2 linked regions of the Mus musculus genome follow. The protein of the gene in region 1 purifies or fractionates together with the protein of each later gene. This does not show direct contact. Links are inferred from orthologs where the notes say so. Each region holds a gene or a part of one and is shown in the gene's direction. Other genes may lie near its edges.

Region 1 (3,744 bases):
TGCCTCTTGTTTCTTCAGTTCCTCCAGCATGGCCAGATAGCGCAAGTATGCTTGCTCTTTCTCGGGAGATTCGGGTTCAGCGCTCTTGTCCCCAGGTTCCGCCGCTGCTTCCAGCCCCTTCTTGCGTAGGGTCTCGTGAATCTTCTGCTGTAGGTACATGTTGTAGCGCTGATAACGGTTCCGCTCCACTAGCAGGGAGTGGTACTGTTCCACCAGCTCGCCGCGCAGTTGCTGCTCTTGCAGCTTCTGCATGTCCGCTGTCCACTCAAACTCTTCAGTGGACGCCCCTTTTTGTTTCTCCTCTTCCTTGGCCTCTCCAGGGTGAAGTTGCTCTTCTGTGCTTTTGTGTCGTTCTCGATCTGTCCCCTCGATCTCTTCACTGTCTCTCTTCTTCAGTGACTCCCTTGCTTTCTCTTTCGCAGCTTGTGGGCCTGGGGCAGCCCCCTCCTCAACAATTGTGGTCAGCGGTAGAGATGGCCGGAACCGTGACTCCTTCCTCTTCTCCCTCTTCCCCTTGCCCTTCGGCTTCTCTGGCCTGTCCCGTTCCTCTCCCTCATCCTCATCCTCATCCTCATCCTCGTCCTCGTCCTCGTCCTCATCCTCGTCCTCATCCTCGTCTTCGTCTTTGTCCTCTGGTTCCTTGGACTCCGGCTTGGTCTTGGGCTGGGTCTGTGGCAGACTCTCTGGCTCTCGGGACACGGCCTCGCCCGCGGTCTCAGCGGCCCCCGGACTTTCCGGGACCTCAACATGCGCGTAATCGATCCCCTCCGAATCCTTCGCTTTTGAGCTGTCCGACACCGGCTGGGTCTCGCTCTCAGGCTCCCGCCCTTGCGTCGGCTCCGGCTCTGGCTTCGGCTCTGGCTCCTGCTCTACAGGGTTGGCCGGAGTCAGAGGTTCGGAGCTAACCTTGATCTCGAGCGACTGCCTGGCCAGGCCTTCCTCGGCTCGGTCTTTGCCCTCGATGTCCCCGTAGTGGCTGTCCATTTTCGACCCGCCGGCCCCGCTCTGAGGCCGGCTGATGCCTGCTGTTAGGTTTCCCGGGGCAACCAGGGCGCGCGGTGGGCCCCGCGATTGGTCACCCGCCTTCCATTTCTCTCCACCTCCCGGCAATATTAGGCCAATGAAGATCTGCGAACAGGTGAAGGGAGGCGCTAATTGGACGCTGGTTCCCGAGAGGCGTGGCCCGCACGGCCTACTTCCGGTCCGCGCCCCGCCGGCTGACAGGCTTAGGGCGGGGCCTCGCGGCTCCTCCAGTCCATGAGGCCGCGGGAGGCGCCGGCGCGCAGGCGCAGAGCAAAGACTCGGCTGTCCGCGAGAGGGCGCGCGGGGGGCGCCTGCGCGATGCGGCGGGGAGACAGCGGCTGCGGCGGCGGCGGCCGGGCCGGGCCGGAGGGCGCCTGCGTGCTGAGGCGGGACGCGGCCCGCCTGGCCGGCTCCGGCGGCGCCTGGGCGGGGGCGGCCGTGGCAGCGGCCGGCAGCGGCACGGGCGCGGCGGGCGCAGCGAGCCCGGCAGGCGGCGGGGCGCTGACGGCCGGGGGCGCGGCGGCTGCGGGCCGGGCGGCGGGCGAGCGGGGGAAGATGGCGGAGCTGGGTAAGAAGTACTGCGTGTACTGCTTGGCCGAGGTGAGCCCGCTGCGCTTCCGCTGCACAGAGTGCCAGGACATCGAGCTGTGCCCCGAGTGCTTCTCGGCCGGCGCGGAGATCGGCCACCACCGCCGCTACCACGGCTACCAGCTGGTAGACGGCGGACGATTCACACTCTGGGGTCCTGAGGCGGAGGGCGGCTGGACCAGCCGCGAGGAGCAGCTGCTGCTGGACGCCATCGAGCAGTTCGGCTTCGGCAACTGGGTGAGCGGCGGGCTACGGCTAGAAGGGAGGGCATGGCTGGCTGGCTCGGTGTACGTTGCGGAGGGCCGCAGGTGGTCGGATGGTTGTGTCCGGAACGTGTTGGTCACCAGCGGTCACACAGCTGGTAGAGCAGGGCCTTGACCCATTGCCCCGACACGGAGCTGTCTGCCCTTCACACTCGTCCTCAAGAGGTGTGCATTGAACGCGGGTAGAGGGTAGGCCCTGTGCGTTGCCAGGCTTATCCTTGAGTCAGATGGCAGCAAGCTAGATCCCACTGTCCTTTGCTGAGTTCCCCTAGTACGGTTGTGTTCTCCTGGGCATAGTGGTGGGGAAGGCCAGAAGCCTGGGGCTGCCCGTCCCGCCTGCACTTAGTCTGCATTCAGGGCTTCGTGTGCTTTCTGTGGGTGTCAGCATGTGCCCTGTGCTAAGGTTCTCAATGAGTAGCAGTATCTTGTTTAAGTCTTAGTCTCCACAGCACCCAGGACATGGTGTGATGGGTGGACAGTAAAGAATGAACAAAGGCGTGTTCCTGAAGAGGCATGGATCCTGGGGTCTGCTTTCTAGCTGTCAGGTTTCTGTAGAGGTAGCTCACTGGTAGTAAGAGCCTTCATGTGTGCCAGCCAGATAGTGTGCTGGGCTCCTGGTTGTTCTCTGGCTGTCTCTAAGGAGCTCTCCTTTCTATTCCTCACCTATGTTAGGGATGAGATCTGGCTGCATTGTCACCATTGCCTCCAAGAATATGTCACATCTTCAAGCTTTCAGAGAAGCAGGGAGCTCGGCATGACCCTCTCCTGTCCAGACTCTTCCCTGGTATGTTAGGGCCCTCTGACCCTAGCTTCCCCGAGCTTCCCCTACTCCAACCCTACTGCCCTCCTGTTTCAGATCGTCGTAGAATGAGTGACCTTCTGGACCCACTTCCCCACTTAGGAAGGAGTCTACTCCACAGATGTCTTACCAGTGAGCAACACTGGCTCCTGCTCTCTAAAAACAATGGGTTACTTTGTCTCTAAGTGGTGTTTATTGGTGTGTATTGCGCATATGCTTTGTACAGATCAGGCAACATGAAGGACCTTGAAGAAGAGCCTCAGTGCTGAAAGTGTGGCATTCATATGCTCTGTTTCTGGAGCTTGTCGCATACCTGGTGATCCCTCTCTACCTGATTGCCTGTGAAGACTCACTTGTCCTCAGTTATACACAGAGCCAACCTAAAGCCATCAACCACATCCAATTGGTCAGTGGTCATGTATTGAAAAGATGTGCATAATGTAGCTACTGACCTACTCTTCTGGCCTGACCCATGATGGTGCTTACCTCTCGTGATCACTTCTCATGGTTTTACCGTTCTCTTCCTTCTGTTCTGTAACCCTTCTCACACATGAACATAGGGCATTTGGAGCATAAGCCGCATCTTGTTGGCCCTCAGCAACTTCAGTTCTGCTTCTTAGATTACACTCCAGTGCCTGCAGGGCCTGACAATGTCTATGGCTCTCTGTGAGCTCACGCGGAGTCCATTGATCATTTCCTTTCTTCTGCCTGAGGTGTTCTCACCTCAGTCAAGACTACTGACTGATCTCTGGCCTGCGTGTCACTGCTTCTGAGAGCCTTTCTTTCCTCACACCAGTCCTCTAGCACTTATTTCCAGAGGAGACACTGAAAAGAGTGAGAGTGTTAGTCTCAGCACTGCGCTTGCTTTAGCTCTTGAAATCTGGGCTGTATTTAGGGAACCCTGCAGAAGAATATAAGAGCCAGAGGTCAGGAGGACACCAGGAGAACAAGGCCCTCTAAATGAGCTGAGCAAAGCTCCGATGAACTCAGATGAACAGAGGCTGAAGCAGCAAGCACAGGGCCAGCATGGGTCTGGGCCAGCATGGGGCGGCACCACGTCCTCTATGTATA
Region 2 (3,744 bases), on another chromosome or scaffold:
TCAGGACATTGGAAAAAGGAAAATTCTCTCTTCTTCTGCTTGCCTCGTGGGATTAAGCAACTGCTAGATTCTTGGACTTCCATTCACAGCTCCTGCTGACCGTTGTTGGAGAGTTGGACAACAGACTGTGTACATCATCAACAAATTCCCTTACTATATAGAGACTACCCATTCGTTCTGTGACTCCAGATAACCTTGCCTTATACAACCAGTGTGTTTAAAAATAAAAAATAAATAGAGGATATAGCTCAGTGGCAGAACATTTGTCTATCAAATGCAAAGCTGTAGGTTGGATCACCTAAACCACAGTAAATAAATTTTACTTTCTTAGGGTTTCCTATATCCAAGGTTAGCCTTAATCTTGATATTTAGTCAAGGATAATACTGAACTTCTTATCCTCCCACTTTCAGCCCCCAAGTGCTGGCTAGTTCATGTCCTGCAAGTACTAGACAAGCATGTTACCAAGTGAACGGTATCCAGCTTTATGCAGGACTGGTGAAGTGGTGAAGACAAGTAAAAGAGCTTGTTGCTTAAGCCCAACAACCTGAGTTCCACTGTTGGTGCCTACAGGAGCATCAACTCCTCAAAGTTGCCCTCTCCCCCCCCCCACCCCCCGTATTTTTTGTGGGATTAAAGGCATGCTCCACCACTACCTGGCCCTCAAAAGTTGTTCTCTTATTTGCAAGTACAAGCACACATACAGAATTAAACTTTTTTTTTAAAAAAGATTTATTTATTTATTATATATAAGTACACTGTAGCTGTCCTCAGACATTCCAGAAGAGAGAGTCAGATCTCATTACGGATGGTTATGAGCCGCCATTTGGTTGCTGGGATTTGAACTCTTGACCTTCAGAAGAGCAGTGGGGTGCTCTTGCCCACTGAGCCATCTCACCAGCTCAAATTTTTTTTTTAAGATCAGAAACTAGAAAGCGGTATGGTAGCACACACCTTTGATCCCAGCATCCTGGAAGCAAAGGAAGGCCTATTAGTTCAAGACCAGCTTGTTTTATGCGGTGAACTCTAATTCAGTGTAAGCCAGGGAACACACACCTGTTAGCTAACCCAAAGGAGCTGTTGCTTTAAGAAGCGCCACTCACGTGACCAACGTCGCCCTAGTGGCTTTACCCGCACATACACACTGGCCAATCTTGAGGTGGTATGCCTCTTTGGTGGGCGGAAAACTCAGTAGACGGCCACCGATTGGCTCCGCATATGGAGGGCGGAGCCTGGGCGCGGAGAGAGGGAATTACCGTGAGCCGGTGAGTGGAAGCAGCCGTCCCTCCCCAGCAGGCGCCCTCCCAACCCCGGAGTCTGCAGGTGAGCAGGTCCTGCCCCGATCCAGGGATCGCTTCCCGCGGTGCTCTGCTCACCAGCCACGGAGCCCGCAGGACCCCGCCCCCTTCACCGAGCACGTGACACAAGTTCTGTAATCCCTGATCTCCCCACTCGACCCTGCACCCTTTGGAGCTGGGAGGGAGGAAGGTGGGTGGGAGGATTCACAACGTAGAAGTCCTTGGAGATCGGTTCCCACGCCTCCTGGTCAGGAGGACTTGGAACTGAGGGTGGGCAGGACGAGACTAAAGAGTGGGAGACCTTGGTCACAGACCGAATTTTGTGAGCTATCAAGACAGGGCTACATAATAGAGAAACTCCCTTCTAGCTTTCCACTTGCGCAGCACTGCATGGTTCCATTTTACAGATGGGGAAACTGAAGCGTACTCATCCAGTGCTGAGTCTAGTGATGGGACTTCAAATCTTTGGGCTACAAAGCCAGGCCTAGTTCAAACACAAGCCTACAGCTCATGAATATATTATCTTGAGTCGAATTACAACAGTGTTTGAGACCCAGCAGTCTAATCACCCGGTGCTTAGTGTTTGGTCTTGGACAGTTCAGGTAATCTCTCTGAGCTAAGACTTCCTCAGCTTTGTGAAATGGACAAATGTGTACAATTATATATCTCATACAATATTACTAACTGGGGGGGCCATGGGCATTTATGTGTTTAGAAAATAGCTGTGCTGGAAAGATGGCTGAGCAGTTGGCTAGTCTCCTTGGAGGACCCAGATTCAATTCTCAGTACCCACATAGCAGGTCACACCTGTCTGTAACTCCAGTTCCAAGGGACCTGGCACCCTCACACAGACATATACATGCAGGCAAAACACCAATGCACATAAAAGTGAATAAATCAGAAGTATTGACCCATGTCCTTAATAACAGCACCGGGATGGGTTGGTGGGCAGAGGCAGAAAGATCTCTGTGAATTGGAGGTCAGCAGGGTCTAGAGAGTGAGTTCTAGGACTGAATAGACAACATTGTCTGGAACAGCTATCCTTTTTTTTTTCAGCAAGTGTTAATGAGGGTATAGTATGTGCTGACCCTGCTGGAGGCCTGGGATGCAAAGGTGAGCGTACTGACCTGGTCTATTGTGCAACTTACAGTTACTGGGGAGCTGCATGCTGATGCCCAGCATCCCTGTACAGAGTGGAGTTGATGGTAACGAGCTGTGTTGGGTACTTACAGACTGTTCGAAGCTAAGGTGTCACATGTGTTAGGAAAACTCTGGTGCTGAGCTGCAGCTCCAGACTTTTTCTTTCTTTCAGGACAGGGTTTGTCTGTGTAGCCCAGGCTGTCCTGGAACTCACCCTGTAGACCAGGCTGGCCTTGAACTCAGAGATCCACCTGCCTCTGCCTCCCAAGTGCTGGGATTAAAGGTACATGCTACCACTGCCGGGCTCCAGCCTTTTTTTTTTACATTTTATTTTGAGATAGTCTAAGTTGTTAGGGTAACCTTGAACTCACTTCCTAGTTGACAAGGACAGTTATACAACCCAGGAAGGCCTCCCTGACAGTCAAACAGGGATCTAAGGAGGTAGTAGGTGATGGGTCACTGAGTCAAAGAGATTTGGAGAGAACAAAGAAGGGACAGTGTCAAACAAGAAACAGAATGGCCTGAAATAAGGAAATAGAGGTGGCCGTGGGTGGAAGTCTAGATCACAAGAGAAGAAGATAAGGTTTTGCAGACAGATGCTGGAAAGGCACAGGCATAGCCTGCCCATCATGGGCCAGTATCTTTGTTTAGTACAAAAGCAACAGGAATCACTGGGAGGATGGCTACGTGGGCTACGTAGATTGCCCACTTGTTCTGGAGATAAAGAATGAGGAACCCAGCCGGGCATGGTGGCGCAGGCCTTTAATCCCAGCTCTTGGGAGGCAGAGGCAGGCAGATTTCTGAGTTCAAGGCCAGCCTGGTCTACATAAGTGAGTTCCAGGACAGCAAGGGCTACACAGAGAAACCCTGTCTTGAAAAGCAAAACAAAAAAACAAAAACAAAAAAGGAATGAGGAACCCTTGCTGGAGTCCTGGGAGTGTCATCTTGGACTAGGGTCGTGCTGTGCTGAGCCTCTGGGCTCTGTCTTTGTGGCTTTTAAAGCAAGATGAGCAGGCATGGTTGAGATGGTCTTGCCTGCCTCACCCTTGGAGGAATCTCAGATACTGGGCGGGTTTTCAACCTTTCTTTTCCACTTGCAGTTCCACCGGGGCCATGTCAGAACGAGAGGAGAGGAGGTTTGTGGAGATCCCTCGGGAGTCGGTCCGGCTCATGGCAGAGAGCACAGGTCTAGAGCTGAGTGACGAGGTGGCCGCTCTGCTCGCTGAAGATGTGTGCTACCGTCTCCGAGAGGCCACACAGGTGTGCTGCTCTCCGTCCACCTCTCTCCTCCCTATGATCTCCTGTTAC

What was found. Proteins that work in one complex are often made in the same cells at the same time.
Region 2: the proteins of Tada2b (region 1) and Taf6l purify together in Homo sapiens (affinity purification with mass spectrometry; 3 studies listed by BioGRID and IntAct, counting the BioPlex papers as one, with this or other methods). This does not show direct contact. The link is inferred for Mus musculus from reciprocal best matches to the Homo sapiens genes TADA2B and TAF6L.

Annotation. Positions count from the first base shown.
Region 1 is NC_000071.6:36,481,892-36,485,635, reverse strand, and holds the start of Tada2b (transcriptional adapter 2-beta), read left to right. Parts: upstream 1-1,350; 5' UTR 1,351-1,578; coding exon 1,579-1,848; intron 1,849-2,546; exon of another isoform or gene 2,547-2,628; coding exon of another isoform or gene 2,629-2,658; intron 2,659-3,744. Other genes in the region: Ccdc96 (coiled-coil domain-containing protein 96), read right to left, coding at 1-984. UniProt on the Homo sapiens protein: Coactivates PAX5-dependent transcription together with either SMARCA4 or GCN5L2.
Region 2 is NC_000085.6:8,783,787-8,787,530, reverse strand, and holds the start of Taf6l (TAF6-like RNA polymerase II p300/CBP-associated factor-associated factor 65 kDa subunit 6L), read left to right. Parts: upstream 1-1,214; 5' UTR 1,215-1,321; intron 1,322-1,703; exon of another isoform or gene 1,704-1,898; intron 1,899-2,352; 5' UTR 2,353-2,401; coding exon 2,402-2,409; intron 2,410-3,536; coding exon 3,537-3,696; intron 3,697-3,744. UniProt on the Homo sapiens protein: Functions as a component of the PCAF complex. The PCAF complex is capable of efficiently acetylating histones in a nucleosomal context. The PCAF complex could be considered as the human version of the yeast SAGA complex.